Elephas maximus indicus: one gene and its partners. The main gene of each other region encodes a partner of the protein of the gene in region 4 in a complex. Links are inferred from orthologs where the notes say so. Each region holds a gene or a part of one and is shown on either strand. Other genes may lie near its edges. The genes, in order: NET1, PKN1, ARHGEF28 and RHOA.

Evidence for each region.
Region 1: the proteins of RHOA (region 4) and NET1 are in contact, whole or in part, in a crystal structure (PDB 4XH9), measured with the Homo sapiens proteins. The link is inferred for Elephas maximus indicus from reciprocal best matches to the Homo sapiens genes RHOA and NET1. Residues at the interface, in NP_001300870.1 of Homo sapiens: Arg5, Lys7, Tyr34, Pro36, Thr37, Val38, Phe39, Glu40, Asn41, Tyr42, Val43, Asp45, Glu54, Trp58, Ala61, Gly62, Gln63, Tyr66, Asp67, Arg68, Leu69, Arg70, Leu72, Ser73, Pro75, Asp76, Pro96, Thr100, Pro101, Glu102; in NP_001040625.1 of Homo sapiens: Glu177, Ala178, Glu181, Gln270, Leu271, Lys274, Lys281, Gln291, Leu294, Glu295, Arg300, Lys301, Leu302, Asp303, Trp305, Ser306, Asp309, Arg312, Ser313, Arg314, Val316, Lys317, Leu320, Leu321, Glu324, Gln347, Leu350, Ser351, Ile353, Asn354.
Region 2: the proteins of RHOA (region 4) and PKN1 are in contact, whole or in part, in a crystal structure (PDB 1CXZ), measured with the Homo sapiens proteins. The link is inferred for Elephas maximus indicus from reciprocal best matches to the Homo sapiens genes RHOA and PKN1. Residues at the interface, in NP_001300870.1 of Homo sapiens: Met1, Ala2, Phe25, Ser26, Lys27, Asp28, Gln29, Val43, Asp45, Ile46, Glu47, Gln52, Glu54, Thr163, Lys164, Arg168, Glu169; in NP_002732.3 of Homo sapiens: Glu40, Arg43, Arg44, Ile46, Arg47, Leu50, Lys51, Lys53, Glu54, Glu57, Asn58, Arg60, Arg61, Leu77, Arg78, Ser81, Leu84, Asp85, His88.
Region 3: the proteins of RHOA (region 4) and ARHGEF28 are in contact, whole or in part, in a crystal structure (PDB 6BC0), measured with the Homo sapiens proteins. The link is inferred for Elephas maximus indicus from reciprocal best matches to the Homo sapiens genes RHOA and ARHGEF28. Residues at the interface, in NP_001300870.1 of Homo sapiens: Arg5, Val38, Phe39, Glu40, Asn41, Tyr42, Val43, Glu54, Ala56, Trp58, Arg68, Leu69, Leu72; in NP_001171164.1 of Homo sapiens: Lys1140, Ile1142, Arg1144, Glu1145, Val1146, Ala1147, Asn1148, Glu1149, Phe1154, Ile1156, Ala1158, Ser1159, Ser1160, Pro1163, Glu1164, Met1165.

Annotation. Positions count from the first base shown.
Region 1 is NC_064822.1:53,568,564-53,576,555, reverse strand, and holds the start of NET1 (neuroepithelial cell-transforming gene 1 protein), read left to right. Parts: upstream 1-4,982; 5' UTR 4,983-5,156; coding exon 5,157-5,249; intron 5,250-7,992. Other genes in the region: neuroepithelial cell-transforming gene 1 protein-like, read left to right, coding at 2,549-2,569, 3,185-3,259. UniProt on the Homo sapiens protein: Acts as a guanine nucleotide exchange factor (GEF) for RhoA GTPase. May be involved in activation of the SAPK/JNK pathway Stimulates genotoxic stress-induced RHOB activity in breast cancer cells leading to their cell death.
Region 2 is NC_064821.1:33,038,274-33,045,810, reverse strand, and holds the start of PKN1 (serine/threonine-protein kinase N1), read right to left. Parts: upstream 3,008-7,537; 5' UTR 2,206-3,007; coding exon 2,167-2,205; intron 1,161-2,166; coding exon 857-1,160; intron 1-856. UniProt on the Homo sapiens protein: PKC-related serine/threonine-protein kinase involved in various processes such as regulation of the intermediate filaments of the actin cytoskeleton, cell migration, tumor cell invasion and transcription regulation.
Region 3 is NC_064820.1:77,859,308-77,866,458, reverse strand, and holds the start of ARHGEF28 (rho guanine nucleotide exchange factor 28), read right to left. Parts: upstream 3,017-7,151; 5' UTR 2,862-3,016; intron 1-2,861. UniProt on the Homo sapiens protein: Functions as a RHOA-specific guanine nucleotide exchange factor regulating signaling pathways downstream of integrins and growth factor receptors. Functions in axonal branching, synapse formation and dendritic morphogenesis.
Region 4 is NC_064838.1:53,868,128-53,875,495, forward strand, and holds the start of RHOA (transforming protein RhoA), read right to left. Parts: upstream 3,012-7,368; 5' UTR 2,922-3,011; intron 1-2,921. Other genes in the region: TCTA (T-cell leukemia translocation-altered gene protein), read left to right, coding at 3,524-3,746, 4,094-4,148, 5,717-5,759. UniProt on the Homo sapiens protein: Small GTPase which cycles between an active GTP-bound and an inactive GDP-bound state.

The DNA of each region.
Region 1 (7,992 bases), on a different chromosome or scaffold from region 4:
GATGGATTAATGATCTGAAACAACCTTTTCAGTCTTCTGATACTGAACATTGACTCAAGATTCTCTCAGGCTCATCCCTTAGAATAGTAATTGAACATTCACATGTTCGTTGCTCCTTTTTTAGACACTATCTACAGTTGTCTAAATTATAGTTAGACCACAAACCTGAACATACAAAATGAAACTAAGATTTTAGTGTTAATGATTTGGGATTTTTGTGACTATCATCTCTAGACCCTATTGGGCTCATGTAGTGTCTATTTTTATATAAAATGATTTCTACCTTTACCTCCTGGGTCCTCAGCTAAAGGAGAGAAATGAAAACTATCCCTTCCCCTCATTATCTTGACTTACTTCTATGATAACTAAATGGAAAAATAATAGTTTTGAGAAAGACATGGGGTAAGAGACCCGTATGACGCCCATAACAGCTTTTTCTCTAATTCTCATTGCACATAGTCCTTTATTCGTGAAACTAAATGACCATAAGTACTGGCCTTACTTGCATCATTTTTTAAGTGATTAAAGTAACTGAACCAAACTACTGGGTTCTATCCCAGGCTCTTCCTATTAGCTCTGAGAATTTAGGTGGATTAGTTTTCTTGCCTATAAAATTAGGGAACTGGATCCCACAGGAAACCCTGGTGGTGTAGTGGTTAAGTGCTACGGCTATTAACCAAAAAGTGGACAGTTCGAATCCGCCAGGCGCTCCTTGGAAACTGTACAGGGCAGTTCTACTCTGTCCTATAGGGTCGCTATGAGTCGGAATTGACTCGACGGCGGTGGGTTTGTTTTGTTTGGGGATCCCATGATCTACAAGGTGCTTCTACTTCAGTGCTACATAAAAATACCTTCTACAATCAGCCACAATCATACATGCTGCCCAGATGTGGCCAGGTAATAGAGGATAGATGATAAAATATAACCAATACCCATTACTTAAAAAAAAGGAGAAACAAAAACAATGAACACCTCAAACCAGACTGATGAATTACCATGACCTTGTATACAAAGCACATTGGTGGCTACAGAAGAGCAGCACTGGTCCTTCTTAAAAGAAGTAACACTGTCCTACAGACCTTAATAAATCTCTATATAGATTATTTGTCTTTATAAATAGTCAGTACCTATTATTTCTTACTCTGCCCTATTCATTCTTCAACCCCTGCAATTTACTTTGTTTATTCCACTGAACTTCCACACTTGAGGTCACTGTTAAACTTGTGATCACTAAATTCATGAATTTTTCCTTACCCTCCTTAACCTATTTTCAATAATTAACACCTTTTCTTCCCTTGGATTCTTGCTTTCTCTCCTTGTAATTGTTAATTCTTTTCTCTTGACATTTATCTTAGTTATCTAGTACTGCTAGAAATACCACAAGTGGATAGCTTTAACAAACAGAATTTTATTCACTCACAGTTTAGGAGGCTAGAAGTCCGAATTCAGGGCGCCACCTCTAGGGAAAGGCTCTCTCTCTGTCAGCTCTGGTGGAAAGTCCTTGCGTCCTTTCATCATTTGTGGGCCCAGCATTCCTTGGAGAACCTATGTGTCTTGGCATCAATATTCCCCTGGGTCTAGGAAGTTCAGCACAGGGTCCCCAGGTCCAAAGGACATGCTCCACTCCCAGCCCTTCTTTCTTGGTGATAATAGGTCCCTCTCTCTCTGCTCACTTCTCTCTCCTTTTGTCTCTTATAACATAAAAGGTGATGCAGGCCACACCCCAGGGAAACTGCCCTTACATGGATCAGGGCTATGACCTGAGTAAGGGTGTTGCATCCAACCCTAATCCTCATTAACGTGACATAATTGAGGAATCATGGAACGAGGAATATCATTGCTGATGTCAGATAGGTCTTGGCTGAAAGCAGAGAATACCAGAAAGATGTTTACCTGTGTTTTATTGACTACGCAAAGGCATTTGACTGTGTGAATCATGACAGGTTATGGATAACACTGCAAAGAATGGAATTCCAAGACATTTAATTGTGCTCATCAGAAACCTGTACATAGACCAAGAGGCAGTTGTTTGAACAGAACAAGGGGATACTCCGTGGTTTAAAATCAGGAAAGGTGTGTGTCACGGTTGTACCCTTTCACCAAATTTATTCAATCTGTGTGCTGAACATATAATCTGTGAAGCTGGACTATATGAAGAACACAACATCAGAATTGGAGGAAAACTCATTAACAACCTGCAACATGCAGATGACACAAACTTCTTGCTAAAAGCAAAGAGGACTTGAAGCACTTACTGATGAAGATCAAAGACTACAGCCTTCAGTATGAATTGCACCTAAACATAAAACAAAAATCCTCACAACTAGACCAATAAGCAACATCCTGATAAACAGGGAAAATACTGAATTTGTCAAGGATTTCATTTTTCTTGGTTCCACAATCAACGCCCATGGAGCAGCAGTCAGGAAACCAAATGACATGTTCCATTAGGCAAATCTGCTCCAAAAGACCTCTCTAAAGTGTCAAAAAGCAAAGGTGTTATTTTGAGGTCTATCATGCGCCTAACCCAAATCCATGGTCTTTTCAGCTACTTCATATGCATGTGAAAGCTGGACAGTGAATAAGGATGACCGAAGAAGAATTGATGCCTTTGAATACTGCAAAGAATACTGAATGGACTGCCAGAAGAATGAACAAATCTGTCTTGGAGAAAGTACAGCCAGAATGTTCCTTAGAAGCAAGATGGCGAGACTTCATCTCACATACTTTGGACATGTTGTCAGGAGGGACCAGTCCCTAGAGAAGGACATCATGCTTGGTGAAGTAGAGGGTCATCAAAAAAGAGTAAGATCCTCATCGAGATCAATTGACACAGTGGCTGCAACAATGAGCTCAAGTATAACAATGATTTTGAGGATGGCACAGTGTTTCGTTCTGTTGTACATAGGGTTGCTATGAATCGGAAGCAACTCAACGGCACCTAACAACAACAATCCTGCCTCATTAACATGATGGACAGCTTATTCCCAAATGGACCATAACCATAGGCATAGAGACTAGGATTTTCAACACATCACAAAATGAATGATAATGAGATCACAAAATAGGACAAGCACACAATACTGGGGATCATAGCCTAGCCAAGCTGATATATTTTAGGGGGATGCAATTCAGTCCATGAGACCATTCATCCAAAATTAGGTCTCTTGCTCTTTTTGTCCAGATTTTCTCTCCCAGGCATCTCCTTCATCCCCAAGGCTTCAACTCTCACTACTATGTGGCTGACTCTTCAGCCTAACTCTACCTCTCTTCTGCCTAAATCTGCCTGTCTTCCAAGTCCCTGTCCAACATTTCTAACATCTAGGTGAGTATTTTCATTTGTCTGTTCTTCCATCACCTCAGACTCAAGTATATCTAAAATGAAACAATTTTCTTTCAAAACTTGTTCTTATTATTTTCATAAACAGTTGCCCCTCCCATCTTAAAATCTTCAGCTTCTTTGACTTCTTGCATATATTGTCTCTTGCATGTATCCTTTTCCTTCCTGATGTCCTACCTTAGGTAAAGTTCTTGATACCTGATTATGATTTTTGCATTGCTGCCAATCATCTTTCAGACCACCTCAAACACTAGTCATATGTCTCTTCTTTCAGCATGACTTTCGTTACCTCTCTCACCTGCTCACTAAGACCTACTCCTTTTTAAGCACAGCCCATTACCTCACAGTTTGAGTTTACTCACTCAATCTACTTTGGAGCCTTGCGCTTTTCCCTTGCTGAAAAGCTGTCTTGTATTAGTTATATCTTCATGTGGCCTATCCACAATGGTATTAGCACTTAGGATCAGATATAAAACCTTTTATATATATATATATGTCAACCACAGTATCTAGAACAGTGTCTTTTTCGTAGATTTCTCCAATCCTAAGAATAGAAGTAAAATCATTTTTTGTGAAACACTGGCATCAGGTCATTCATAGTAATATACAGTTAAGTTAAAATCTTACCTTTCAAAATAGAATACAGTACTTTGTGTTAAAGAAGAAAATCTGCTTCATAGCAGACCTACCAGAGCAACAGAAATCATGTTGTTCCATAGAGAAACGGATTCAGACTAGAAATGTGGAAACTGTCACTAGTATATGACTTTGGGCAGGTAACTTCTCTGTGAGGCTCATTTCTTCCTGTGTAAAATGCAAGATAGTTTAAGTAAGTCTTTTGATTTCTATTAGGAATTTATCAAGATTGGTTAGTTCAGAATAAAGACCTCTGTTATATATTTTTAGAACAAATCACCTTTTATGTATTTTTATAACATCTAGTATACAGATATCAAATTTTAAAAACATACAGAAAAAATACCTACTATTAAGTCTAAGAAATACTGAACTTTATCCTCCAAAGTAACCCAGTTATGCTTTGCCCATAACCCTATGGGAGATTTACTTCAAGAATAGAGTAAACTTTATTTACCCTGCTGGTCTTACGAAAAAATAGTGGGAACCATTTTCTAAGGGCAGGCAATTTTACAGTTGTGAATATGTTTGCAACTTATGTAAAATAAAAGCAAGTTGCCTGGGTAATTAGGTTTTTCTTTAGCCTATACAGTTATTTAACTCTGAATTCCTACTTTCTTGCTTGAAGTTGTCAATTGTGCATAATAAATTTCTTCCTAGGTGAAAGGGTTTTTATGGGAAAAGTATCCCTGCCTGTGACTAAAACTAGATGAGATAACCTAAACAAGCAATTAGTTCTCCATTGGGAATGCTTTCTAAATCAGGAAGAAAAGCTTCTGCCTTACATTAACCCAACTTCCTTTTCCCTTCTCCTCTTATTTTCTTACTATAGAAATTCCAAACCTATCGATAAAGAGCTTTCTCTTCCACAGCGAAAACGGAGAAGCCTAGGTGTGCCACAGCTGTCAGTTAACTCGCGTCACGTGACCCCCTAGGTGCACGCCCACTAAGGCTAGTTCGCTGTTTTGGCCCCGCCTACAGAGCCTTGAGGTCTGTGTGCTTTTACCCCAGCTCTCAGAAGCTGTTAGTTCCACCACAAGGAAGAGACATGGGCAAATGGCTGCCAAGGGTGGGTGAGGACTCAAAAGAAAAGCCTGTGTGACTCAGTAGTGATCCGAGTCAGCAGAGCTGACGCGGATGTGGATCACTTGTAAAGATTTTAAGGAATACTCGGTAAAGCATGGTGGCGCATGATGAGATTGGAGGTCTCCTACCTATTAAAAGAACTATTCGAGTCCTAGATGTTAATAATCAGTCCTTCAGAGAACAAGAGGTAAGACTTTAAAATAAAAATTAGGCAAAAGGAATGTTTTCTAACTCCATGAAACTTTTAAGATTTTTAACAATTTATTAACAGTATAATTTTAAACTTTTGATCTAACAATTTAAGTATGGTTACTGAGTGTTAATATGTATGACTTTGATTATATCCAAGTTTGAGAAGTGTGCTTAGGAATTGTGGTATAGGTTTATTACATGGTATAGCTTGAGTGTACAGAAACTTCTATGCGAAAGGAAAAAGATTTTAAGTATATAAGCTGCTCAGTTTGGTTAAATTGGTCACTTTTCTGATGTTCTATATATATATATTTTTTAAAGTATATATATATATATATTTTTTTATCGTATTTGCTTAGCCTTAGGAACTGCTTTATGGGGTAAGAAGAAAAATAAGAATCCCTTCCTTGTAAGTTCATGCTAGTGGATAAATTGCAACTAAAGTGCTATCTGACCTGGTGTGGGTTTTTGCTTTTTCTTTCCACATCTATTAAGTTCATTGTGTGCTGCTTTTGTTTTCTTCAGAAAGAAAGATACGTTAAAACATTTAAGCACATGATCATTATTTAAATACTTTGAAGTCATTATAGTTCTTAAAAATCTTGATGAACATTTATCAAAGTAAATCAAATGCTTTTTATACAATTTTAGGTAATCTTTACAGTTAATTTAATACTATACGGTATTGTATTAATTTATATACTGCAATGTATATTATGTGGTATATATCATCACTTATGTTAGAAACAGTGTTTCTGTATTCAGTCATCTATGTATCTATCTTGATTGTAGTGGTGGTTTGGTATATACCTACTCAAAACTTACCTAATCATACTTTAAATATGTGCAGTTTGTTGTATGTTAGTCATACCTGAATAAAACTGTTTATCATATATGTACAACATATACTTTTTGGTAGCTAAAGTAGCTGCCATGTTTAGGAGGTACGCTTTTACTTGGCGTGGTTTGGCTTTGGTTATTGTTTTGTTTTTTGCTTACTTAGGTTTTGGTTTTCTTGATGTGTCTATATTAAGCAAATCAAGTACGTGGTCATCAGTGTAAATACTGAACCTGATAATCATCTTTTGGCCCATCAAGAGGCAGTCTTTTTTGTTTGGTATTAGACATGGGCCATGTTTCTGGCACAGCTGTATTCAAAAGATTAAAAACACCAGAAATGTTGTCAGGTTTTTAGAACTGGTAACATAGCCTTAAAGAAATGACTTACTTGAATATTCCTATTACCCTTCTTACTAAGTAGAAAGGGAAGAAATCCTATCATAACTCATTTTTATTTTTTTAAAAATAGCCTTTATTTTCATTCTTCTTATTTTAAACTTCTTGCCAGGTACTAAGGAAAATTATTCATTTTGTAATCCAAAACAAATAAACTTAGACACGTACTGTCTTTTTTAAATGTCTTGATTTAATTGACTATAGAAAAACCTCCTAAAATAAGCCCTCTTAAGTGACATCATTATTAGAAGAAAAACCTTTTTACAAGATGCTGAAGTCATGGCAGAATTTTTTTGTGTTGTTGCATTGACATGAAGGGTACATTCCAATAAAAGATTTTACATTGATCCTAACAATTTACCGTATATAGATGTTCAAAAAATATTTTAAGGTATAAAATCTGAACAACAATTGGATTGTGTAATTAATTAGTTACCCGGTCTGAAGGCAGGATTTCTTATAATAATGTGTGTGATTGCCTAGCTAAACTAGATAGTCTGATTAAAAGTTAACCTAAATAATCAACATGAATTTGTTAAGGGTGTTGGGTTTATGCTTCCCTTCCAAGTAAACTTTAGCCCTGGTGAAAGGTTACCTACAGTAGAAAGTTTCTTGAGTATGCTGGTATTCTTTATTTTCAAAAACGTTCAGATTGTCCTTTAAGGAGAGGGTATAGTTTGAATATCCATAGCACTGTTTCCAGTGCTCCAAAATAAAAACAATAGAAACATTATATAATCTTTACTTTTGGTGGTGGTAGGACGGATATACCCCTGCTCTTTTATAACCTCTAACTATTGTACCTGCATTGTGTGTGTGTGTGTGTGTGTGTGTGTGTGCAGTTCTCTAAAAACAGTCTCTTAGAAATGTGTTTTGTGACAATGCAAATATTTAAGTTCTTAGTAACTAAAACAAGATAGTTAAAATAGTTCAGCTGGATTTCTGAAGAAAAACTATTTTTGGTTTTAGTTCACATGAACCAAATCCTACCCTGTATTTCAAAAGATTGGGAATTTTTATCCCAACCTTATAGGCAACCCGTGATTGCCTAATCTGTATCACTTTTCCACAAAAATTTTCTGTATAATTTTTTTTTCAGGTAGTATACATATCCTGAAATTTAGTAGTATACTGTGCTGTAATCCATATCCAGTACTATGCCTTTACATTTCCATCACACTTTTCAAGTTATTCATTAAAAGTGTTTATGCTTTTGAAATATTAACACTAACAGTTTGTATTGTTTCTGCCAAAAAATCTCCACATGTGCCATTTTAGTAAAGCAGGAAAGTTGCTATTGGATCACCAAAAGCAAGTTGGAAAAGTGGAAAGTCTTCCCCTTCCCCCACTGGTATTTCCTGATTTAATACCACACTTTCTTACCAAGCAAGACATTTTGAATTAGATGAACTTTTAAGAGTAACATATCCTTTCTGGAGAAATGAGATATGGGTGGGTTTTTAAAGGACTGTGGAAATATTTAACCACCAAATACTGCTTAG
Region 2 (7,537 bases), on a different chromosome or scaffold from region 4:
GTATTTATGCAACAGAATGTAAGTTTCTGGGTGTTGTCTAGGTGTTGCTGAGATTGCGTGTGTCTCTAGATACTGATGTGACGTGATGTGATGTATGTGAGTCTTTGTGTGTCACTGGGTGTTGGTGAGACTGTGTGTGAGAGTCTTTAGACATTGATGTGACGTGTGTGAGAGTTTTCAAGTGTTGTCTGGGTGTTGGTGAGATTGCGTGTGTCTCTAGATACTGATGTGATGTGATGTGATGTGTGTGAGTCTTTGGGTGTCACTGGGTGTTGGTGAGACTGTGTGTGAGTCTTCAGACATTGACGTGACGTGTGTGAGAGTTTTCGGGTGTTGTCCAGGTGTTGGTGTGGCAGGATGCAGGAGTCTCTGAGTGTTCATGTGACAGTGGATAAGTTTTTGGGTGCTGGCTGGTGTTGGTGAGGCCATGTGTGTGAATCTCTGGAGGCTGGTGTGACCGTGCGTGAAAGTCTCTGTGTATTCACGTGACAGTATAAAGCCTTTGGGGTGTCATCCAGGTGTTGGTGTGACTAAGTGCATGAGTGTCAGGGTGTTGGTGTGACAGCAGGTACATCTCTGGGTGCCGTCTGGTTGTTGGAATGACTGTGTGAGACCGGGTGTTGACAGCATGTACGTCTGGTTGTCGATGTGAGTCTTTGGGTGTCAGGTGGCTATGTGGACTTCGCTCTTTGCTATGACTGTGTTTGGAGACTCAGAGTTGCTGTGACAGAGTCTGTCTCTCTGAGGCCAGTGGAGATGGTATTGAACCTCTCGTGCAGGCCTGGCTGCGAGGGCAGTGGGGGCACACCTGGGTAGTGGGAGCCCCTGGAGTCCTGCATCCCCAGCCCCGGCTCACCACGGGCAGCAGTCGCAGGGTCGGGCAGCACCACGTGGGCGTGCAGCTCCTGCAGCTGCTGGTGCAGCAGGTCGAGGCGGCGCGAGGAGCCACGCAGCAGCAGCTCCACGGGGCCCAGGTTGCGACCTAGGTCAGTGGTGGCCCGCCTCAGGTTCTCCGCACCCTCCTTCAGCTTCAGCTCCTTGCGGATCTCTCGCCGCAGCCGCTCACGCTCTAGCTCCAGCTGCTGCTGCACCCCAGGGGCTGCCAGGTCCGCCCCTGCCAGGCCCAGCTGTTCCAGCAGGGACCAGTTGCGCGACTCACTCTGCAGGATGCAACAGGGTCAGTGGGGGATGGCTCTGGGATGCAGACCACCTTAGCCAACCTGGGCCCAGCCTCCTTAGGTACCCCCAAAGACAGAGCCTGCTCTACCTCCTCAGAGCCCCAAAACTGGGAGGTGAGAGCAGGGCCCTGTCCCTGCTTTCAACTCCCTCAAACTGTGAGGGCCCAGGGCAGGGCCTGCTCCCTTCCCCCATCCCTACAGACTAGGGGTCCCCAAGGGACAATCTTGTCTCTCTTTATCTATTCCTCATGCGGTGGGATTCTGGGAAGCAGACCCCACTGCCCCACTACTGTCCCCCCAAACTAGGGGGTCTCGAAAGTAGGCACTATTTCCCCTCTGCTGTCCCCCAAAGTAGGAAGTCCCAATAAGTGACCCCATCTCCTTTCTACTGTTCCACCCCAAATCAGAAAATCCCTAGGACAGGTCTTGTGGCCCTACTGCTATCCCCCATAAAGTAGGAGGCCGTGAAGGTAGCTCCCATCTCTCATCTGTCCTCCCCCTAAACTAGGAAGTCCTGATTACAGACTCCATCTCCTCTCTGCTGTTCCCACAAACTAGGAGGTCTCGAAGGTAAGCCCCAATTTTCTCTGCTGTCCTCCCAAACTAGGAGGTCTCAAGGGAAGACCCTGCCTACCCTCTGCTGTCTCCTCCAAACCAGGAGGTCCTGAGGTGAGGCTCGGTCTTCCCTCCCATTTCCCTACACAGGAGGTCTCAAAGGTAGACCACTGCCCCTCCGCTGCCCTCCAAACTAGGAGTTCCGGAGCAGAGGCCCCGCCTCCTTCCTCCTCTACCCCACAAACCTGGGAGCCCCAAAGGGCCGTAAATATTTCCTTCCTTCAAACTGAGAGCTCTGAGGCCAGGGCCCCATCTCCTTTCCTTGGTCTAAAAGTAAGAGGTGTGGAGGGCAAGGGCGCCATCTCTCACACACCCTAGCCTGTCCCATTTGGGGTCCTCTACCACCAGCCCACCACAGGTACCCGGCCCCCACCTCCAGCTCCTGGTCCAAAGGGGGACAGGGCTCCGCCATCCTGGGTCCAGGGTGAGGGCCCCGCCCTCTTCCTGAGCCTCAGCCCTGCCAGGGCCTCTCACCACCACTTCCTCTTTCCTGCCACCTCCCAGCACCCCCCGCGGCCGGCCAGCTCTGGGGCTCTGGGGCATCCAGGGGAGCTTCCCCTTAGCCCCACTCCAGGGTCAAGCCTGCTTCCCAGAGGCAACCAGGGGACTGTGCTCACTCCCTGTCCTGTGAAGGTGCCCAAGGTACACGGGTGTGCACTTCACTGTGTACATGGCAAACAGGCTTCCACAAGTGTATGCAGGCTCCAGGGACTGACTTGGATGTGTACATGCTCTCATATACCTACAGGTGTGCTCAAAAACACAGGCACACTCCCATGCCTATGGGTGTACACGTAGAACACAAGCTCCACGCATGTGTGCACACTCCCATGCCTATGGATGTGCACACAGAACACAGGCTCACACGTGTGCATACTCCAGTGCCTATGGGTGTACAGAAGGAACACAGGCTGAGTGCACATGTACATATCTACATGTCTGTGCACACAGCACAGACTCACAAGTGTGTGCACACTCCCACGCCTATGGCTGTGTGCACATAGAACACAGGCTCACACGTGTGCACTCTCCCACACCTGTGAGTGTGTTCATGGAACACAGGTTTCACAAGTGTGTGCACATTCTCACACCTACTCACATTTACACCTGCATGCACACACCTATGAGTGTGTACAGGAGTCACTGCAGAACCTGGACATACACACTTTCATCTGCCCGTGTGGACAAGCCTACACCCTCACACATGTACACATGCTCCCCACAGCCCCACAACCTGCCCACACTCCCAAGGGCCTGCAGCCCTGCTGACGGCTCCACGTGTCCCTCTGGCCAGGCCCCCCTGTCCCGCCCCCTGTCCCCGACTTCCCCTTTGGGGTTGGTACAGCAATTTCTGCAGAGGCGGGGCCCCTTCCTGCAGGCATAGGCTGTCTAACTTCCTGCTTCCTCCCAGTCCAGCTGCCCATTGCTGCTGACCACAGCTCTGAGGTCTGGGGACCCAGCCAGCCCAGTGCGTCTCCCTGAGACCAACACATTGTGGGGGACAGCACCGAGGGGTTAGGATAAGGAACAAAACCAGCAGCCCACAGACACTTGCTAACCACGCACTAATGCTCAGATACAACTATTAACCATAGTAGTTACTAGAAGCTCCACCCAGGTCAACTAATGCAACTCCTCGAGGTAGGCACTATTTTCACCACATCATCTAGATGAGGAATTAGGCCCAGAGGGTGCCGTAACTTGCCCCAAGGTCCCTCAGCCAGCAGGAGGCAGGCCAGGATTTTAAAAGGAACATCCAGTATCTGAGCACTGGCTAAGTGCTGCACCTGTGTTATCTCCCTCCACTCTGAGAACCCATTTCACAGATGAGGAAAGTCATCACTAGCTGCTGCTCAAACTCAAGGCCAGCTGCTCCCAAGAGAGGGTTTGCTGCAGGCCAAGACCACCCCTCGCAATAACCCTGAGTAGCTGCTATCATCCTCCCACTTTACAGGTGAGGAAACAGGCTTAGAGAGGTAAGAGCAGTTCTCAAGCAGGGGCAACTTCACCCCACCACCAGGGACACCTGGCAATGTCCAGAGATGTTTCTGGTTGTTACAACCAAGGGGTACACTACTGGCATCCAGTGGCTTGAGGCCAGGGATGCTGTTCAATATCCTATAACGCCCAAGACAGTCCCCCACAGCAAAGAACGATCCAGCCCCAAGCATTAAGAGGGCCGAGACTGAGAAAGCCTGGGTTAAATGACAGAGACTCAACCCCAGACCATCACTGCTCCTCAGTAGCTATCTGACAGCAGCCCCATCTGCCATGAGTGGCCCCGTATCTGTCTCTCTCCTCTGCAAACACCTTTTTTAGCCCATTTTTATAATGACAGAACGGAGGATGGAGGTTCAGAAAGGCAAAGGCACTGTGGCCAGGGCACACAGGAAGTGACAGCACTCACATACCCCCTCCCAACCAGGCCAGCCCCACACCCTCCCCAGCAGGCAGAGCAGGGGTACAGCCAGGAGCGAGGCCAGCTTAAATTGGGGAAGTCCAGGCAGAGAGGAGGAGTGCTGCTCTGGGCCCACCTCTGGCCACTGAGCCCTGAGAATAGGGAGGGAGGGCAGGAGGCCCAGCCTCCTGGGCCCTCCTCTCTGGGGTGACTCACTCCTACCCAGGGACGAGGGGTCACCTGAGGGCCAAGAAGGCAAACCCAGGACACAGGGGCCTGACCTGGCCTCAAAGAATCCCTGCTCCCCCTCACCCTGAAGCAGGAGGCTCCAAGCCGAGGGCACCCACTTCCCAGAACCCCCTCTCCCCAGAGCAGTCTGGGACCTAGACCCCCTTGTCTGGAGATTTCAATGCCTTGGGAGTTTCCGGAATCTGCACAGGACATCCGTTTGCCGGACACAGAATAGACAGGCACACATCGGGGAAGACAGAGGGACAGGGCAGCAGCCCAGGCAGCCACAAGAATGGAATTGTGGGGGGCGGGGGCAGAAAGCGGGGGAGCCAGGCACAGGTGGAGCCTCGTGGCAGGAATCACAGCCTTCATCTGGGTCATGTGTGGTACATGTCAAGCGCATGCACGCGCGGGGGAGGGGGGCTCCTATACAGCCCTCCTGGGCCGGGGGTGGAGGCAGGGACCTCGGCCCACCCCACCCCAAGGTCTGACCTTGTGTGATCGGCAACACCAGATACGCCCAGCTCCTCGGCAAGGCTGGCAGGCCATCAGCAGGACTGGGGGGGGGGGTATCATAGGGGATCATGGGGAGACACAGAGGGAATGGGGCAGGTGCAAAAGGAGATGAAAACCTGTTACACAGAGACCACAGGACAACCGACTGCATGGTGAGATGCTAAAGGGGCCTCTAGGCACAGGACATGTCTCAGACTTGGATCACTGAGCCAAAGAAAGTCGGAGATCAACCTGGCCCTACTTGTCCCAGAGGTGGAAGGTGAGTCCAAGGCAGTGATATCCTCAAGGTGGCACAGGGAGGCCAGGGGAGACCCTGGCTGGCAGCTTGGTGCCAGTCATGAGTGTGTGTATGTGTATACAGGGTGAACCTGCCCTGATGCCAACGGACGGCAGGTAGAATCCCAAATCCTGGAGCACTCCCTGTTGACCCGACACAGCCCACCTGGGTAAGGTCCCACCCCGCAGCCGGTACCCCGGAGATTAGGCTTGAGGGTCCCCCGTCCCCCCGACCTAATTAGGTGACTCGGGCATTTCTGCCAACAGGTGCCAATCTGGGTGGCGTCGGGACCATCGTAAATCTCAGTCCGGAGGCAGGGCCGCTGGAGCTTTGTTGTGCGGGGGAGGGGGAGGGGCCGGGCGGTGTCCTCCCTCCCCGGGCATCGCGCCAGCCACCTGCCCCAGGTGGAGAGCTGCATCTCCCGGGAACTGATCGCTGCGGAGGGGGAAGATGGGGGCCGACAGGTACCGGGACGCACAGCCAACCAACCACCCGAAGTCGCGCCTCCACCGCGCCCGCTCGGGTCCTCGGGGCCGGGCCGAGCTTGGGGTGCAGCGGGGCTCCTGGTCCTCCCTAACCCTCCCAGTCCGTACCTCCACCTGCAGAGAAGGGGGCCGCGCTGGCTCCGGGGTCCCGGCCCAGGGAAGGGGCACCGGGCGCTCGGAGGCCCCGCCCTGCCGTACCACTTTGGGGGCCCCGGCAGCCGCGGGCGGGGGTCCTGGCGCCGTCCGGCCGCCCCACCGCTGCCGACGCAGGTGCGCCTACCTGCACGGCGTCGCTGGCCATGTCCTCGCGCCGCCCGCCAGGGGTCCCCGCGGAGGGAGGGGCCGGCGGAGGAGCGCGCGTGCGCCCGGGCGGGGCTCGGAGGGGCTGCGCGGCGCGACCCTGGGCGCGCGGCCCGCTCCGGCCTGCTCGGCTCCGGCCTGCCCGGCCAGGCCGCCGCGTCCGCGCGCCGCGCCCTCGGGCCCAGCGGCCGGCCGCGTCACGTGACCGCCGAGGTCGGCGCCCGGGGAGGGGGCGGGGCGAGGGGGCGCGGCTCCCGGCGGCCCCTGGGGCTGTGGGGTCCAGCGTCTGCGCCCCCCTGACCGTCCCTCCCACGCTGGCCCTGCCGCCGGGTCCCGCGCTGAAGCGCGCGGGAACTTCCTCACCCTGCCTGAAGCAAAGGGCGAGCCGCTTCCAGCCGGGAGGGCCCTTTGGGCCTCCGGGGATCCCCTCGAAACCCAAAAAATAACAATAACAACTAACCTAACCCCTCCGTTTGCAAACTCAGGCCTCCTGGACCCATTCTGCTGAAGAGTCTGCCATTCAAGGGCACGGGAGCTTCCCCACTGCCCGAAGACAATCACGGTTCTGGACAGATCTGGGTTCAAATCCCTAAGGCTCAAGGACGACCCACACCCCTAAGGCGCCACATCTGAGGCATGGAAAGGGTTTACCCACTTCTGGGATTTGGTAAAATAAAGAGATAGTGCATGTCAAGTGCTGAGAACACAGTAAGCACTCAATAAATGTTAGCTGCTGTCATTTTTAATATTATTAGAAGGGGTTCGAATCTCAACTCAGCTGCTGACTCTAGGCCCTGTCGACCCTGTGGCCGCTGGGCCTTAGTTTCTCCCTGTAAAATGTGGACAAACCTCTTCTTGGGGGCCGGCTGTGAAGATTGATGGGGTCTGCAAGGAACCCCATATGCAGGTGGCGCTCCATAAATACGGGCTCTACCCTTGGGGAGAGCCGAGACCTCAGGGGAATTTCTCCAAGGTCCCCAGGATCCGGGCTCTGGGCTCCAGGCTTCGGGCCAGGAGCACTCCCTGGCGGTGGGTCCTGCATGCGGTCGGCGTCCTCCCGGGACCTGCTGAAATACAGACGGCTGCAGGTACCTTGGTTACGCGTGGCTCTGGGAGGTTTACATTGTCCCAGAGACCCAGGCGCGGTGTTTTCTCTTTGCATTTTTCTTTGAGCTACTCTCTGGGAATTTTAACAGAGAAAAAGAAGAATTAAGCCGACCCAGAGCCCGCCCACTTTTCACCTGTGAACATACTGAGGCCCAGAGAGTAGCCCTTCACTGCAGTCATGGAACCTGGATGTTTATTACCCTTGCCCTGAGGGATATGGTGTCTCCCTCTAATTCTTCAGCAGACCCATTTTACAGATGAAGAGGATTAGGCAGAGTGAGGCTCTGACTTGACCCGGGGACTGGGCTGGCGGGAGCTCCCCTTTTCTAGGGACAGGCCCTCTCTTGCCTGCCAAGTTCCAGGCGCCTCCTGGGATGGAGCTGGGAAACCCTGCCAACTACCCACATGCACTCCGTGAACACTTATCGAT
Region 3 (7,151 bases), on a different chromosome or scaffold from region 4:
AACATCTCTAAGCCCGGCTTTGCCTTAGTAAAGGATCTAGACCCAAGCCCTATAGGACGGCATAATATTTACAGTACAACTCTTAACATGGCAAAATTCCCTGAATTTGGTGCATTTCAAGTGTAACACTGTTTATAATTTAGCACTTCTCAATAGGAGTTGCCCGGCTTGACCCACCTCTTCATAACAAACCTTAGTTAAGGTCACAAGGGAAAAAAATCCCATAGCTTTTCTGCCCACTGAAAGCAACCTAAGTACAAATGCAATTAGAGAAAATGTACATAAACCAGATCTCTCATATCTGATCAGTAAATTAAAGCATAATAAAATTATAGTCAGCCTGGGAGTCTGAGAGTCATCTGGGCTCAGTTTATTACCATCTTAGCTGTGCCCCAATAGTAAAGGGTTTTCCAACATTTGTATCATAAATCTTTTATCTGGAGAGTCAGCACTTGATCATAAACTCTGGGAGGACTTGAAGTTAGAGCTTAAGTGGTAACCAGTTTTATACAGAAAGCTTAATATAAAAGTAATATTATATTCTGCTATTTGCTTTAATACCTATTTAGAACACGTTTCATTTTCTCACATGGCATACTAAAGGAGGTCATGTTATCAGAGCTCACCTGAAATTCCGGCCCAATTTAAGTCTAAGCCACAAGCAGTAGTTTCTTATAAGAGCACAATGAAAAACTATTCCAAACTTTTCTCCAGTATTCACATTATAAAAAGGGTGTGAAACCCAAGTGAGGCCCCTGATGAAATTTCATAGAACCTTAGTGACCAATTACTGCTTTCCTCTTTACCTTTAAGTATTTCCAAACTGCTTAAAGGATTGGATGGATGCTTCAGAGGTTATGGCACACCTGTTACATAACCTGTTCTTGCTTGGCCAGGTTATGTGGTTTTGATAAGGAAAAAAAATACAGTCAAAAGGGCAAACACTGATTTTCTGTTCCCCATTCTCCTGTTAGCCAGGACACTCATCTGAGTCAGATACTCAATAGCTAGCTGTGTGCCTCGGTTTCCTTCACCACTAAATATGAGATCGGATGCTGTCCAAATTCTTATTTGATAAAAGTCAATGAGAAAAAAAAAGTCAATGAGTACAACTACATATGAAATCCACATCAGAACATTACATTGAAATATCATATTGTATTAAAAATTCCAAAACCTTTTGCAGTATTCATTTCTTTTCTCTAGATACTCCAAAGGGATTAGCTTGGCCATTGGTCAAGACAGGGCAAACTCCCATGTGTTTTAAGAAGGTGTATAGAAAAACCCAGGAGTCCCCGGGTGCTTCAAGTGGTTAACATGCTCTGCTGCTAACCGAAGGGTTGGAGGTTTGAGTCCACCCAGAGGCACCTTCGAAGAAAGACCTGGCAATCTACTTCCATAAAATAAGCCACTGAAAACTCTATGGAGCACAGTTCTACTCTGACACACATGGGGTTGCCATAAGTCAGGCTCAACTGAAGGGCAACTGGAACTAAAATATAAAAACCCAGGAAAGATGCATAGAAACCTTCCCAGGTGAAGTTATCACTCTGCTTGGATTGTCCTGCGCAAAGAGGAACCCCTCCCCTCAAACCTAACAGAATCAGGTCTTTGATTTTTTTTTTTTTTCTTTTTTTTTAACCGTGAAAACAATTTCGCTTACCCTGACAGCTTCAGGGCCTAGGAACACACGATGACAAAGCTTCAGAAAACCAGGGACCCCATGGGACCTGAAATGATCAGTTCTTTCTAAACGTCTTAATTTTTCATATTTCTTGCCCAATTGGCGCAAGTCAGCGGTAAACCTCCAAAGTGCCAGGTCTTAGGAAACTTGCCAAACCCAGGCAAGGTCAAGGAGAGAGACGCTGCGCAAACACTGATGTTGCCACCTTTCCTCATCCCACCCCAGGTATAACCAACAGGGGGGACGGGGTGGGCTCCCAGGAAGGCAGATGGGTTCTCTCCTGGAAACCGAATTGGTGTCTGGGATACCAGAGCTGGGTTTACAGGGCGGCCCCAGCACCCAACCTCCAGGCAGCCCTCCTTAGGCAAGGATGCCGCCTCTGCCTAGCACATATGCCTCATTATGACCCCTTTGGAGACCCTACACTCGGGAAGGTTATTGTCCCCCCATCCCCACCCCCACCCCACCCCCACACATACACACACGCACACGCCTTATATTCGAGAGGGGTAAAAAAAAATCCATAAAATAAACCTAAGAAAGTCTGACGGAATTCTGACACCACCCCCCAACAAAATAACTATAAATTTTTTTAAGAAAAAAACACAGCAACTGTTTCCCCACGAAATAACTGTTAGCGCTTCTGCATCGCTAGTGTTCCGAGCTTGAGCCCCGCCGAGTACCCTTGGCCCCAGAGCGAATGCACGGATGCGGAGGGAGGACCCCAGCTTTCGAGACTCTCCCTTCTTCCTGGCCAGCACCCCCACTGCACGGCAGGTGTGCCATTTATTTCCTCGGCGCCTGAAGGGCAGAGGCCGGGCTCCCACTCGCCCATCCCCCGTCGGGGGAGCTGGGCCCGCGAGGGCGAGAAAGGCCGCCGCCGCCTTCCCGCTGCGTTCGGGGCCGCGACGCCCGAGCGACCCCGCGCTCCGCAGCTGCCGCCGCCGCGCCCGGCTGTGCAGCCCTTTGCACTTGTTGCAGTCCCGGGGGAACTGGGAGGCGAAGCCCATCCCTCACGCAGCCGAGCCCGCAGCTGCACCCCCTTTCCACCACTGCTGACCCATGCGTCCCCTGGGACCCTGGAGAAAGTGTCCCCACGGTTGCAAACTCAGGTAGACAAACTTTTCCGCCCAGGGCTGCCGGAGTCGCGGTGGATGGAGTCCCAAACAGCATTTACCTGGAGCTATGGCCCCGCTGCCTCCGGAGCCCTGGTGAGGCGCTGCGCCCCGCGCCCTGCCCGAGGGCGCCCCGGAACGCGCCCCAGGACCACAGCCGCCTGGAGCCGGGAAGGCTCTCCCCAGAGCTGCCAACGCCCGCGGCGGCACAGCTCGGGCAAGGGCGGAGGGGCGGAGCCGCAGCCGCGCTCCCGGGCCGGGCTGGCTGAGCTGGTAACTGGGGCCGCCCCTGCTCCCCCCCTCCTCCCGGCTGCCACTGGATCCCCCCGCCCGCCAACCTCCCGGCCCGGCTCGCAACTGCGGCATCACATGGCGAGGCCGGCCCGCTCGGCGGCCCGACACCGGCTCCAGGAGGAAACCTGAAGCTGCCCGACTGGGCTGTCGCCACCAGCCCCCTCCCGCCGCGGGGCTGAGGCAGGCTCTCCTCGGCCTCCCTCACCCTGCACGCAGCGCCAAGACGCGCAGCGGCTGCACCGCCCGGCCGGGCCAGGGAAGGACGAGGTTGCGCCCTGGTGGCTGCGCCCGCAGGGCCCGGCCCCAGGGGCATAGCCTCGGCGCCGGCGGAGGAAGGACCTGGCCTACCCTCTGCTGAAAAGAGTTGTGCCAGGCCCTACGGAGGTTCAGGCTGTCCTCAGCCAAAAGCCACCACACCCGTGACATAATATGGCCCAGGTCTATTACAATAGGCAAAAAAAAAAAAAAAAAATGCAGTATTATTTAAAAATCAGCAGAGACACCCTCTTATTTCAAGAGGCTCATGTTCCTCTGGCCCAGAGCTTTGCAGAGCTGCGATTCTCCTAGTTCATGCACGCAAGTGGCTCCATTAAAAGTCATCATAATTCAAAAACTCTCTTTTTTTTTTTTAAACAAGGAACAACACTGTGAAAGGGACTCTTTTATCCAAAGTGCTTTTCCAGTTAGAACTGATCACAACCCCAATGTGGAAGCTTCTCCATCAGCCCGAAAAAAAACCCAAACCGGTTGCCATCGAGTTGATTCCCACTCATAGCAACCCTATCAGACAGAGTAGAGCTGCCCCGTTGCGTTTCCAAGGAGCGCCTGGTAGATTTGAACTGCCGACCTTGGGGTTAACAGCCGTAGCTCTTAACCACTAGCCACCAGGATCTCATCTCCATCAGCCAGGCCTTCATAAAAGGAAGACAGTTATAGCAGCTTTAAAAGAAAAACCGATTTAACTTTTCTTGTAATTACCTGGAGTGTCTGGTTCTTTTGTTGTTGTTTTTTGTCCTGTATAGACGTGCCGCCCCAGAACCAGGACTGGGCCGTGGCCTGAGGAAGCTGTCCACCAAGGCACTGGGCCAGAAAGAATCACTCCTTCTCACTCCTTGGCCACTTTCCGCTTTCGCCATCACCTCTCCTGGGCCTTGGCCATTTCTGCTGTCTCCCTTCCTGCCTTCACCTTCTCCAGCCCACCTTGCTGATATGAGCTGGAGGAAGAAGGGAAGGCAGGAGAAGACAGCCTGAGGTTCTCAATAAAAAGTCCCTGTGTCTGGAGTCCTTAGCCCTGTTCCAAGGCAAAGGTCAAGGCCTATTCCACTTTAACAAGGAGGCCCACAGCGTTGGCACTGCACTTCTGACTCATGGCTGTAATCCTGGCTGATTCCACCCTACACAGCTGTGAACCTGCCTCAAGCACAGCGGTGGTGGAGAAGTTCCTGCCCATTGCCAGGACTTCAAGGTACTCAAGATGAAAAGAAAAGCAATATTCTTTTCAAAAATAAAAATGATTCCCAGCCCTAATATGTCTACTGTGGATTAACTGAATCAACACACCAGGAAAAATGGTTTCCAAACTGATGAGCAAAAACATGGGTGTGTTAGAAGCCTTTGTTGTTATTCTCCTTTTTCACATTACCAGTATTGAATCTTTGTGTATTTTCTTTTTTGTTTTTTTTTTTCCCCCTTAAATTTTTTTCCCACTAATTCTGTGTGGTATGTAGATAGAAAAAATAATAAGTGTGAGGAGGAATAAATATTATGAGAAGTTATACCAAAATTCCTTCATACTAAAAAGAAACAAACAAGGAAAACTAGTAATTGTGAAACCCTCCCGAACTGGGGCTATATAATCATGCTATCTGCAGTTTTCTTGCCTTCTCTCAAGCAGAGCTTGATCAATATTTAAATAAGTACTTGGCTTTCAACTTCTCTAGGTTCAAATGTTAAACAAAGTGTACTCCAGCAACCTTAAAAGAAGCCCATAAATGTATGAAACAGGAAGCTAACCGTTTTCATCTGATTGATTTCACTGCTTCAGATATAGGTCACTTAGGGCACTGAGATAGTGCTAAGCTCGACTGGGACAGCTTTTTGTCTAGAATTCAAAGACAAGGGAAGTGCAGGCAGCAAGAAACCAGTTTGGTAATTCAGTTGGGAAAATTCTTACTTCCTAATGAGCAGTATGCCAGTGCCCAGTTCAGCTCCTGTCATTTCTAGCTATTCATTCTCCATTCATCCTGACAGACTTCACGCCAGACAAACCTCCATAAAACCTTTCTTCACTATCCTGGTTTCTGCCACCCTCTGAACTTCAACAAAGCTTAATGATGGCCTTACCACACAATTTAGCAACTGATTATATTCACTGTCATATGTTGGATGATTACAGGTTCTTATCCTTTTTTTCAATTTGTCACTTGAAGGACAAAGACTTTCTTATCCCTATAATCTCCACAGTTCTAATACAGGGCACATCTAGAGTATAAAATATTTGCTTTTTTAATTTAACTATCATAGTCATTCTATTAGTCACCTTGAGGACTGATGTGCACCTGACCCAAGCTATGGTATTTTTAATCACCTCGTATGCATGTGAAAGCTGGACAATGAATAAGGAAGACCAAAAAGAATTGATGCCTTTGAATTATGGTGCTGGTAAAGAATACTGAATATACCAAGGACTACTAGAATAATGAACACATCTGCCATTGAGAAAATACAGCCAGAGTGCCCCTTGGAAGCGAGGATGATGAAACTTTGTCTCATGCACTTTGGACATGTTATCAGGAGGGACCAGTCCCTGGGGGAGACTACTGCTTGGTAAGGTGGACGGTCAGTGAAAAAGAGGAAGACCTTCAACGAGTTGGATTGACACAGTAGCTACAACAATGGGCTCAAACATAGCAATAATTGTGAGGATGGCACAGAACCAGGCAGTATTTGGTTCTATTGTATATGAGGTCACTATGAGTCGGAACCAACTCGATGGCAGCTAACAACAACATCATGTTAATTATACAGGAAGGAAAATGTACGTCACTCTTTTCAAACTTTTAAAAATGTATTAGAACCACCTCAGATTCTATTATCTACTTAATTCTTTCCCGCCCTTTAGTCTATCTCCTTTGCCAATAATTCTCAAAACTTGAATAATTGTAAATCTGATGTTTGGCCATACGAATGAGGGAATTATCAGTGTTTCTTAAATGAAAGTATGATACTGGGAGATCGTGGGTTTAGAGTGATGATGTTAGGGGTAAGCTCTGTAAGTAAAAATTGCCAAGTCCAAACAGCAACTCTTTCATTCACTAATGAGCCAAACTTGGGAAGAGCCAATCTTTCTAAGCCTCCATTTCTCCATCTGTAAAATGGGCATAAGAATAATGTTTACTATCATTATGAGGATTAAATGACTGAAAGTCAATATGAGACACATACTAAGGGTGCAGCTAACAGTGGCAGTTAATATTTTGGAGTATGCCACTGGTCTCGCCCCTTTGGGAGCAAGGAAGAATGAAGAAAATGAAAGATACAAGGGAAAGATTAGTCCAAAGGACTAATGGACCACATCCACCACAGCCTCCACCAGACCAAGTCCAGTAAAACTAAATGGTGCCCGGCTACCACCACTGACTGCTCTGACAGGAATCACAATAGAGGGCCCCGGACAGAGCTAGAGAAAAATGTAGGACAAAATTCTAACTCAAAAAGGAAGACCAGACTTGCTGGCCTGACAGAGACTGGAGAAACCCTGAGAGTTTGGCCCCCAGACACCCTCTCAGCTGAGTAATGAAGTCACTCCTGAGGCTCACCCTACAGCCAAAGACAGAGCAGACCTGTGGAACAAAACAAGACTAAAGGGGCGCACCAGCCCCAGGGCAGGGATTGGAAGGCAGAAGGGAACAGGAAAGCTGGTAACATGGGACCCAGAGTTGAGGAGGGAGAGTGTTGACATGTCATAGGGTTGTTAACCAATGTCATAGAACAATGTATGTACTAACTGTTTAATGAGAAACTAGTTTTTTTTTTCTGTAAACCGTCTAAAAATATAT
Region 4 (7,368 bases):
TCACTAGCAGCCGTAATGCTTAAACTCAAGCTGCTATCTACAAAAGCTCATCAAACCCAAATTAAAAAAACCTCTTAAAAGCTGAAATACCAGCCTGTCTCCTGGCAGAGTTAACACAAATCTCTCCGCTCTAGGACAACTAAGAAGACCCTAAGTAGCACCTCAGCTCCCGCTGTCACTGCTTGGTCGGACCCCACCCCATGGACAGGAAACACCTGAAGATCTGCCTGTTTTACTCCCCTAATAACTTACACCACCATATGACCAAAACCAAACCCGCTGCCGTCAGGAGTCGCCTCCAACTCATAGGGACTCTCTAGGACAGGGGAGAACTGCCCCATAGAGTTCCCAAGGAGTGTCTGGTGGATTCAAACTACTGATCTCTTGGTTAGCAGCTGTAGCTCCTAACCACTAAGCCACCAGGGTTTCCCCACATGACCAGGACAAACTTTTAAAAGAGTTAACTGACAAAGAATCAGGACTATGAAAAAACTCCAACAACAAAACCACTCTCACACATGCACATGCACTGTTTACTTGATATGAGCAGTTTCTCCCAAACCCACTCCAAATCAATACTCAAAAAGGCCCACAGTTACCTGATAACATTTTAGGCTGAACTATGATGGATTTGGAGAAAGGAAGTCTGGACTCCCCTCTGGAAAAAGTTGGTTCATCAAGAAGACCCAAATACCCAAAGCCAGGACTAGGCCAGCCACTCACCCTGCACATTCATTTATCTGCATCATTTAACTGCTACAGGACCACCCAGATACAGAGGAGAGTGTTGTGAAAGCCAAAGAACTGTAATTTGTTTGACAAATTTTTTTAGACTCTCCTAAACCAAAAAAAAAACCCATTGCTTTCAAGTTGATTCCGAGTCATACTGACCCTACAGGACAGAGTAGAACTGTCCCATAAGGTTTCCAAGGAGCGCGTGGTGGATTCGAACTGCCAGCTTTTTGGTCAGCGGTCAGCTCTTAACCACTATGCCACTAGGGTTTCCAAAGGCAACCAGCAAGGTGTAAAAGTGGAAAACACTGGACTAAGTTGGAAGCCCTGGATTTTAGCTGACTCTAGGCCTGATACTCGGGAGTGCGTGGAGAATACCTTACAAAAAAAAATTCTAATCTGCTCCCCCAACAAGATACGTGAGCTTGGTAAATTTACTTAAGTCTCTGGGACTCAGTTTCCTCATCTGCAAAAGGGAGGGGAAAGGGTTGGATTACAAGTCCTGAAAATTCCTTCCAGGTCTAAAATTCTGGTTCTATGAAGTCAGTTGATAGCTATATTCCTACTCTCTTCTCCCTCCAGCACAGATCTCTTATGAGAACAGAGATCATAAGTCTCTAGGACTAAAATCTGACTCAAAGCGCAAGTTCCATATCATATTTTTTGTTACATTCCCAAGAGCCATCAGTGATCTACCACAGTAGATAGGAACTATCCTTAATACAATTTATCAGAAGATAACCTCAATAAGTCATCTTTTACAATTCAGAAAAAGTCTTGTATTTTCAGTGCAAACAACGTCACTTGTGCCAAGCCCTCAAAATAATATGACCACCAATTCAGTCATGTCTAATGGAAACCCTGGTGGCATAATGGTTAAGAGCTACAGCTGCTAACCAAAAGGTCAGCAGTTTGAATTCACCAGGTGCTCCTTGCAAACCCTATGGGGCAGTTCTATTCGGTCCTATAGTCACAATCGACCCAAGGGCAACGGGTACAGGTAAGGTGACAATCATGTACATGTCCAGACTACACATTTGTGTGGGGGACACTAAAACTCAAAACAAAACTAAAAGTGGCTCAAAAATTCTCACCACATACAATATTTAAAAAAAGCTTTTAATACAGAAGTATTTTTTTCCCTCATTTTTGGCAGAGAAGAATATAATTGATTACACGCCTGCAAGAAAAAATTTACTTCAAAAGGGTAAAGAAAAAAAGAACCGACCAGATCACAAACAGGTAAAATTCTTAAATCAAAACTATCAAAAAAAAAGTGTCATTTTTTACCTTCTTCCTCAACTCTGAGGCAAAAAATATGTCATTTTTCCGCCATAAACTACTAGACATGGTTTTTGATCAAATCGATTTGTGCGCAAATAATGCTATTTAATGAAGACTACCTGTAACTGTGGATCCAATCAGTAACTAGGGACAAATGTTTAGATGCTTCCTAATCAAAATAATAAAAAGGACTAATTAAAATTGCAAATTAATACTCTATTTTGGTGGAACATAGATCATAAAAAATGCTCTTTTCAAGCGGAAAACGTCCTCACTTTTTCTTATTTTACAATACAAATAGCCCTGATCCCTAAGATTACAACACAATCTCCAAAAACACTACATTAAAAAAGGAAATGTACCCCAAACACTGAATTCAAACAGCATAAAACATTCATATATTACACTGAATGTAAAAAAGCAAAATGGAGTTGTAAAGAGTAACTTTCCCATTTCAACTCCTACAGCCACGCGCGAGTCGCAAAGGCCGGCAGTACCGCGCGGTCGCGGGGCCGGATCCGGAGCCCCCGCCCTACCCGGCGCGGCCGCCGCGACTGCTGGGCGGGGAACCGGCGCGGCAGTGAGAGGAAGCGCTGGGGAGGGGCGGCGGACGAGCAGGCAGCTTGGGCTCTATCTACCAGGCCCGACCGGGCGGGGGAAGGGGCGCGGGCGGCGGCGGGGCGCGCTTCCGGGGCCTGAGCGGGCGGGGCGTCGCCTCGGGGCGCGGGGCCGGGACCGAGAGCCGGAAGCCATGGGCCGGGGACCGTGGACCGGACACCGGGGGCGACCGGCTGGAAGCAGCAGGTGGGGCGCGGCTGCGGAGGGGCGGCAGGCGGGCGACCGGAACAGTGCCGAGCGGGCGGACCAGAGGCGCCGCGGCGCTGGGAGTGAACCCTCCCGCTCACCTTTGGCGGCGACTCCGAGTCCGGCCTCTTCGTGGCGAGGACGCCGCTCCGCGAGTCGCGAGCTCGGAGGCGCTGGCTGGTCGCTGAGGAGGCGGCGGCTGACTAACGAGAGAACCGAGGAAGGACGGCGGGCGGCGGGCGGGGAGCTCGAGCGAGCGAGGGCGGGCGGTGGCGGGAGGGCGGGGAGCGACGTGCGCGCCCCCGGGCGCCCGGCGGGCTCGAGCCGGCCACAGTCGCGGCCCCGCGCACGCGCGCGCACTCACAATTCAGCCACGATTGCTCAGGAGCGTGTCCACGCCCTCAGAGCAAGGCGCTTAACCAATCATTGCAGCCGCACGGGGCATCACGGGAACTCTGGGGCTATAAAAGACCTGGTTGCTATTTTATACCCCTCGAGTCACTCATCCTTTAAGCCGGGTGGGTCTAGGTGCGCGTGCGCGTCGTAAATACTCCTCCCCGAACTGCCAACTCTTCGCGCAACCGCGGTAGGCCTTCCCCGCCTGGGCTCACGCGTGCGCACTAACCGGCCTGGCCCCGGAAAACTAGACGCCTGCGCGGTGGGGACTACAGTGACAGTCCCTGGGGTGGGGCGCAGGCCAGTCATGGCGGAGCCTTGGTCCGGGCAGTCCTTGCAGGCTCTGCCGGCTACGGTGCTGGGCGCACTGGGCGCCCTGGGCAGCGAGTTCCTGCGGGAGTGGGAGGCGCAGGACATGCGCGTGACTCTCTTCAAGCTGCTGCTGCTGTGGTTGGTGTTAAGTCTCCTGGGCATCCAGCTGGCGTGGGGGTTCTACGGGAACACGGTGACCGGGCTGTATCACCGCCCAGGTGAGGTTCCCCATCAACCTCCGCGGGCCGCCCGCCCCCAGCGGACTGTACGGCTCCCCAGGATCTCCCTAGACTACCGCTGGTTCTCCGAGAGTCTTATCAGAATTTGACGCTGAACCCATACTGTTTAATGCCACCATATCATTTCACGCCAGAATCCCCACCAGCCCACCCATCGCATTGTAACGTTCCCCGAATTCCCACCAGACAATACCGCTTATCCCTTAGGACCCCCACCTGACTCTTCACCAAACAATATAACTGGTTCCTAACCTAACCTGGGCTGATGCCTGCCCAGAGCCCCACCCCACAGCCTGCTGCAGCTCTGGCTGTATTCCTGCCCCCAGGTCTGGGCGGCCAGAACGGATCCACACCTGATGGCTCCACGCATTTTCCTTCCTGGTGAGTATCTGTCCCCACCCCAGCCCCATGCTTGGCAGGCAGAGGACGTTCCTGTGCCGGAGGTGGTGGGAGGGGGCTCTCGGGGTGGGAGTCCACCAGTTTTAGTGGCCTTTGCAGCAAGCTCCAAGGTGTACAGCCAGAACTCAGGCTTCAAGCTGGGGGTGACACTGATACCTGGACAGCTTCTCTAAGCATGCTGTCCAGCAACCTGTGGAGTGGGTGGTAGGGACATTATCACCATTTTACAGATGAGGGAACAATTTCAGAGAGATGAAGTGACAGGTCTGTTGCATTCCTCTCCAATGTAAGCCCCTCATTTGGGAAGCCAGGAGTCTCTGTCCTTAGAGCACTGACTGGCCTCATCAAGGCCAGCCTCCTGATGTGTGAAACATGAACTCACTAATCAGGCAGTCATTCAGCTAATCTGAGCTGAGACCAAATTCTGTCTTAGTTCCCTGGAGCTGCCGTAAAAAACAGTAATTAATTTCTCACAGTTCTGGAGACTAAAAGTCTAATTAAGCCAAATTGGGGTTGATTCCTTATGTAGGCCTCTCTCCTGGTTTCTGGTGGCTGCCAGCAATCTTTGGCTTTTCCTTGCTGCTTATTGATGCATCTGCTTTCATTGTCACATGGCATTTATATTCCCACTACATGACATACTCCCTTTTTATAAGACACCCCTCAAAAGAAATTAGGACTAGGGCCCACCCTACTCTGGTTTGATCTCATTTGACCTAGTTGATAAGAAAAGAGAAACTATTTCCCCAAACAAGGTCATATTTACAGATAACAGGGATTAGGACTTCAACATAACTTTTTGGGGGAAACATTTAATCCATAACACTCTATCCTCTGTCTACCCCAAGTTCCATTTCCTTCCCATGTGCAAAATACGTTCATCCCATCGCAAAAGTCTTAACCCATTCCAGTGTCCACTCTTAAGTCCAAAATCTCATCTTTTGAATCATCTAAATCAAGTATGAGTGACACTCTGGGTGTTTTCCAACCTGGGATAAAATTCCTCTCCATCTGTGGACAGATGAAACCTAGAATACAGGTTATTTGTTTCCAAAATATAATGGTGGCCCCTATAATACATAGGAGCTTAGAAATGAATGAGCATATGGAGAGGAGGGACCTGTAGGGCCCTTATCCTAAGGTCCAGGAAACTATTGAAGGACTCCAGGAGGTGGGGCCTGATCTAATTTGCCTTATAACTGCCTGTGTCATGGCAAGATGAAGCAGTCCAAGAGTGAAGGCAATAGGCTAGTTAGGAAGCCTGCCACTGCCCAGGTTTCTGTCTTGTGCAACTGGGGAAGGATGGTGGCACCATAAGGTGGGGACCCAGGAGGAAGAACAGGTCTGCAGGGGGAAGGTGTTGAGCCCAGTGTGGACTGTGGGGCCTGTGAGGCACTAGGAATCTAAAGCTCAGCAGAGAGGTCTGGATCGTAGTATGGCATTACTGAGCCCAGCTCAGCTCCCAAGAAGGGTCTGGGATGAGCCAATCCCAGGGACTGCTCTGCTGCCCATGAAATAACCCCTCTCTTCTCTCTCTCCATCACTTTCAGGGAAACTGCAGCAAATGAACCTCTCAAAACCCACAGAGAATAAAAGAAGGCAACAGGGAGTCTCCTGGCTCCCACATTGGGTTCTCCTGCTGCCAAGTCCTGTGGATGACTACAGGAGGATTGGGGCTGGGGACAGGGAGTACCTTAGCACTTGCAGGGCTGGGCCTCTGCTGCCCTCAGCCCTGCCTCCAACAGTCCCAGGCATTGGGTCAGTGAACTTTGCCTCTACCCTGATCTGTGTGCCTTAAGGGGGAAAAGTATGCTGTTCCTCTCTCAGGGGTTGGAGCTCAGGAGAAGCCTTTGGATTGGGGAAGCCAACAATCCATTTTCTGTCCTATATCTCCTGGCCCTCTTCCCATCCCCCTGTGGTATGACCCCATAGAGATTTGTCTCCTTGAGAGGATGAGGTTGCGGTTGACCAGCCATGGGATTTGTAAGGAAGTCTGTTCTCCCCTAAGCCCTGGGTTCCCTGGATTCCTTTGGTTTTGCTTTGTTGGCAGGGAGCCAGGGTATCCTGGCCTGGGCCAGGCTTTATACTCTGGGGCGGCTTCCTGCCCGCACTGCTGAAGTGCCCGTGGGGTCTCAGGTCTGCACCCTGCTCCCTCACTGGGAAGTATTGAGAAGTTACTTAGCTATTTAGATATAAGGTCCTATGGCAGGGGGAGCTAGCACCATTCAATCATGGAGGCACTGAACACCATCTCCCTGGCCCATCTAGATCTCTTTAGGTATGACCCAGGCAGAGGAAATTGTCATTTCCGAAATGTCCTATTCATATTCCTCAGTCTTTCTGGAGGGAAAATTGGGTGCCTGAAAGGGGCAGAGCCCACCAGCTGAGCTCCTGGGGTGGCCTCCCACCCCCGGCACTGAAGTGTCTATGGGTCTTGAGTATGTACCATGTCCTTCACTGAGGTACTGGGCAGTTAGTACAGAGCAGCCCCATCATGCACTGCATCCTCATCACTTCCCACCTTGACCTGGAACAACAGGATCCTCATCCTAAGAGCCCCAAGGCTTAGCATCTCCTCACCAGCACCATCTCAATGCAGAAGAGCCACAGGTCAGGCAGGCCTGCCACCTCCACAGCAGGCCAGGGGAGCTTCCAAAGGTGTGTGTTGCAAAACATCCCCAAAGAAACACTGGTTGCTGAAAGCAATGAGGCCCTGTACCTGCCTCACTCTCTAATGGCAATATCTCTGCCTGCCTCTGCTGGGCTACCAGCTACCTCAGTGTCCCACTGCCCTCTTCCTCCCAGTTAGAGGTCACGTTTCGATATGGCAGCCTTTGCCTAGGCCATCCTTAAGGCAGAGGGGCATTGGAAGTGGGGGCTGTGATGAACACACTCCAGAGATATCTTCTGGCTAGCAGATTGATGGTCTTCCCAGGTCCACCACACACCATCACCACACACAGGCTCAACTGAAGACATGGCTTATTAAAAATGGAAGTGGATCAGTCGTGTGGTTATTCAGACAGGACAAGGCCATGCGTGCACAGGGGTAACTGAAGTGGGAACACCCAGGGCGGCAGGGGCTGTTGCTCTTCAGGACCCAGAATGCAATGGTTTGCACAGGTGAAGAGATGATGCCAGCTCCTTAGAAAAGTGATCGTGGGGTGCCCAAAAGGAATATCCCCATCAGCCCTTACAGGCC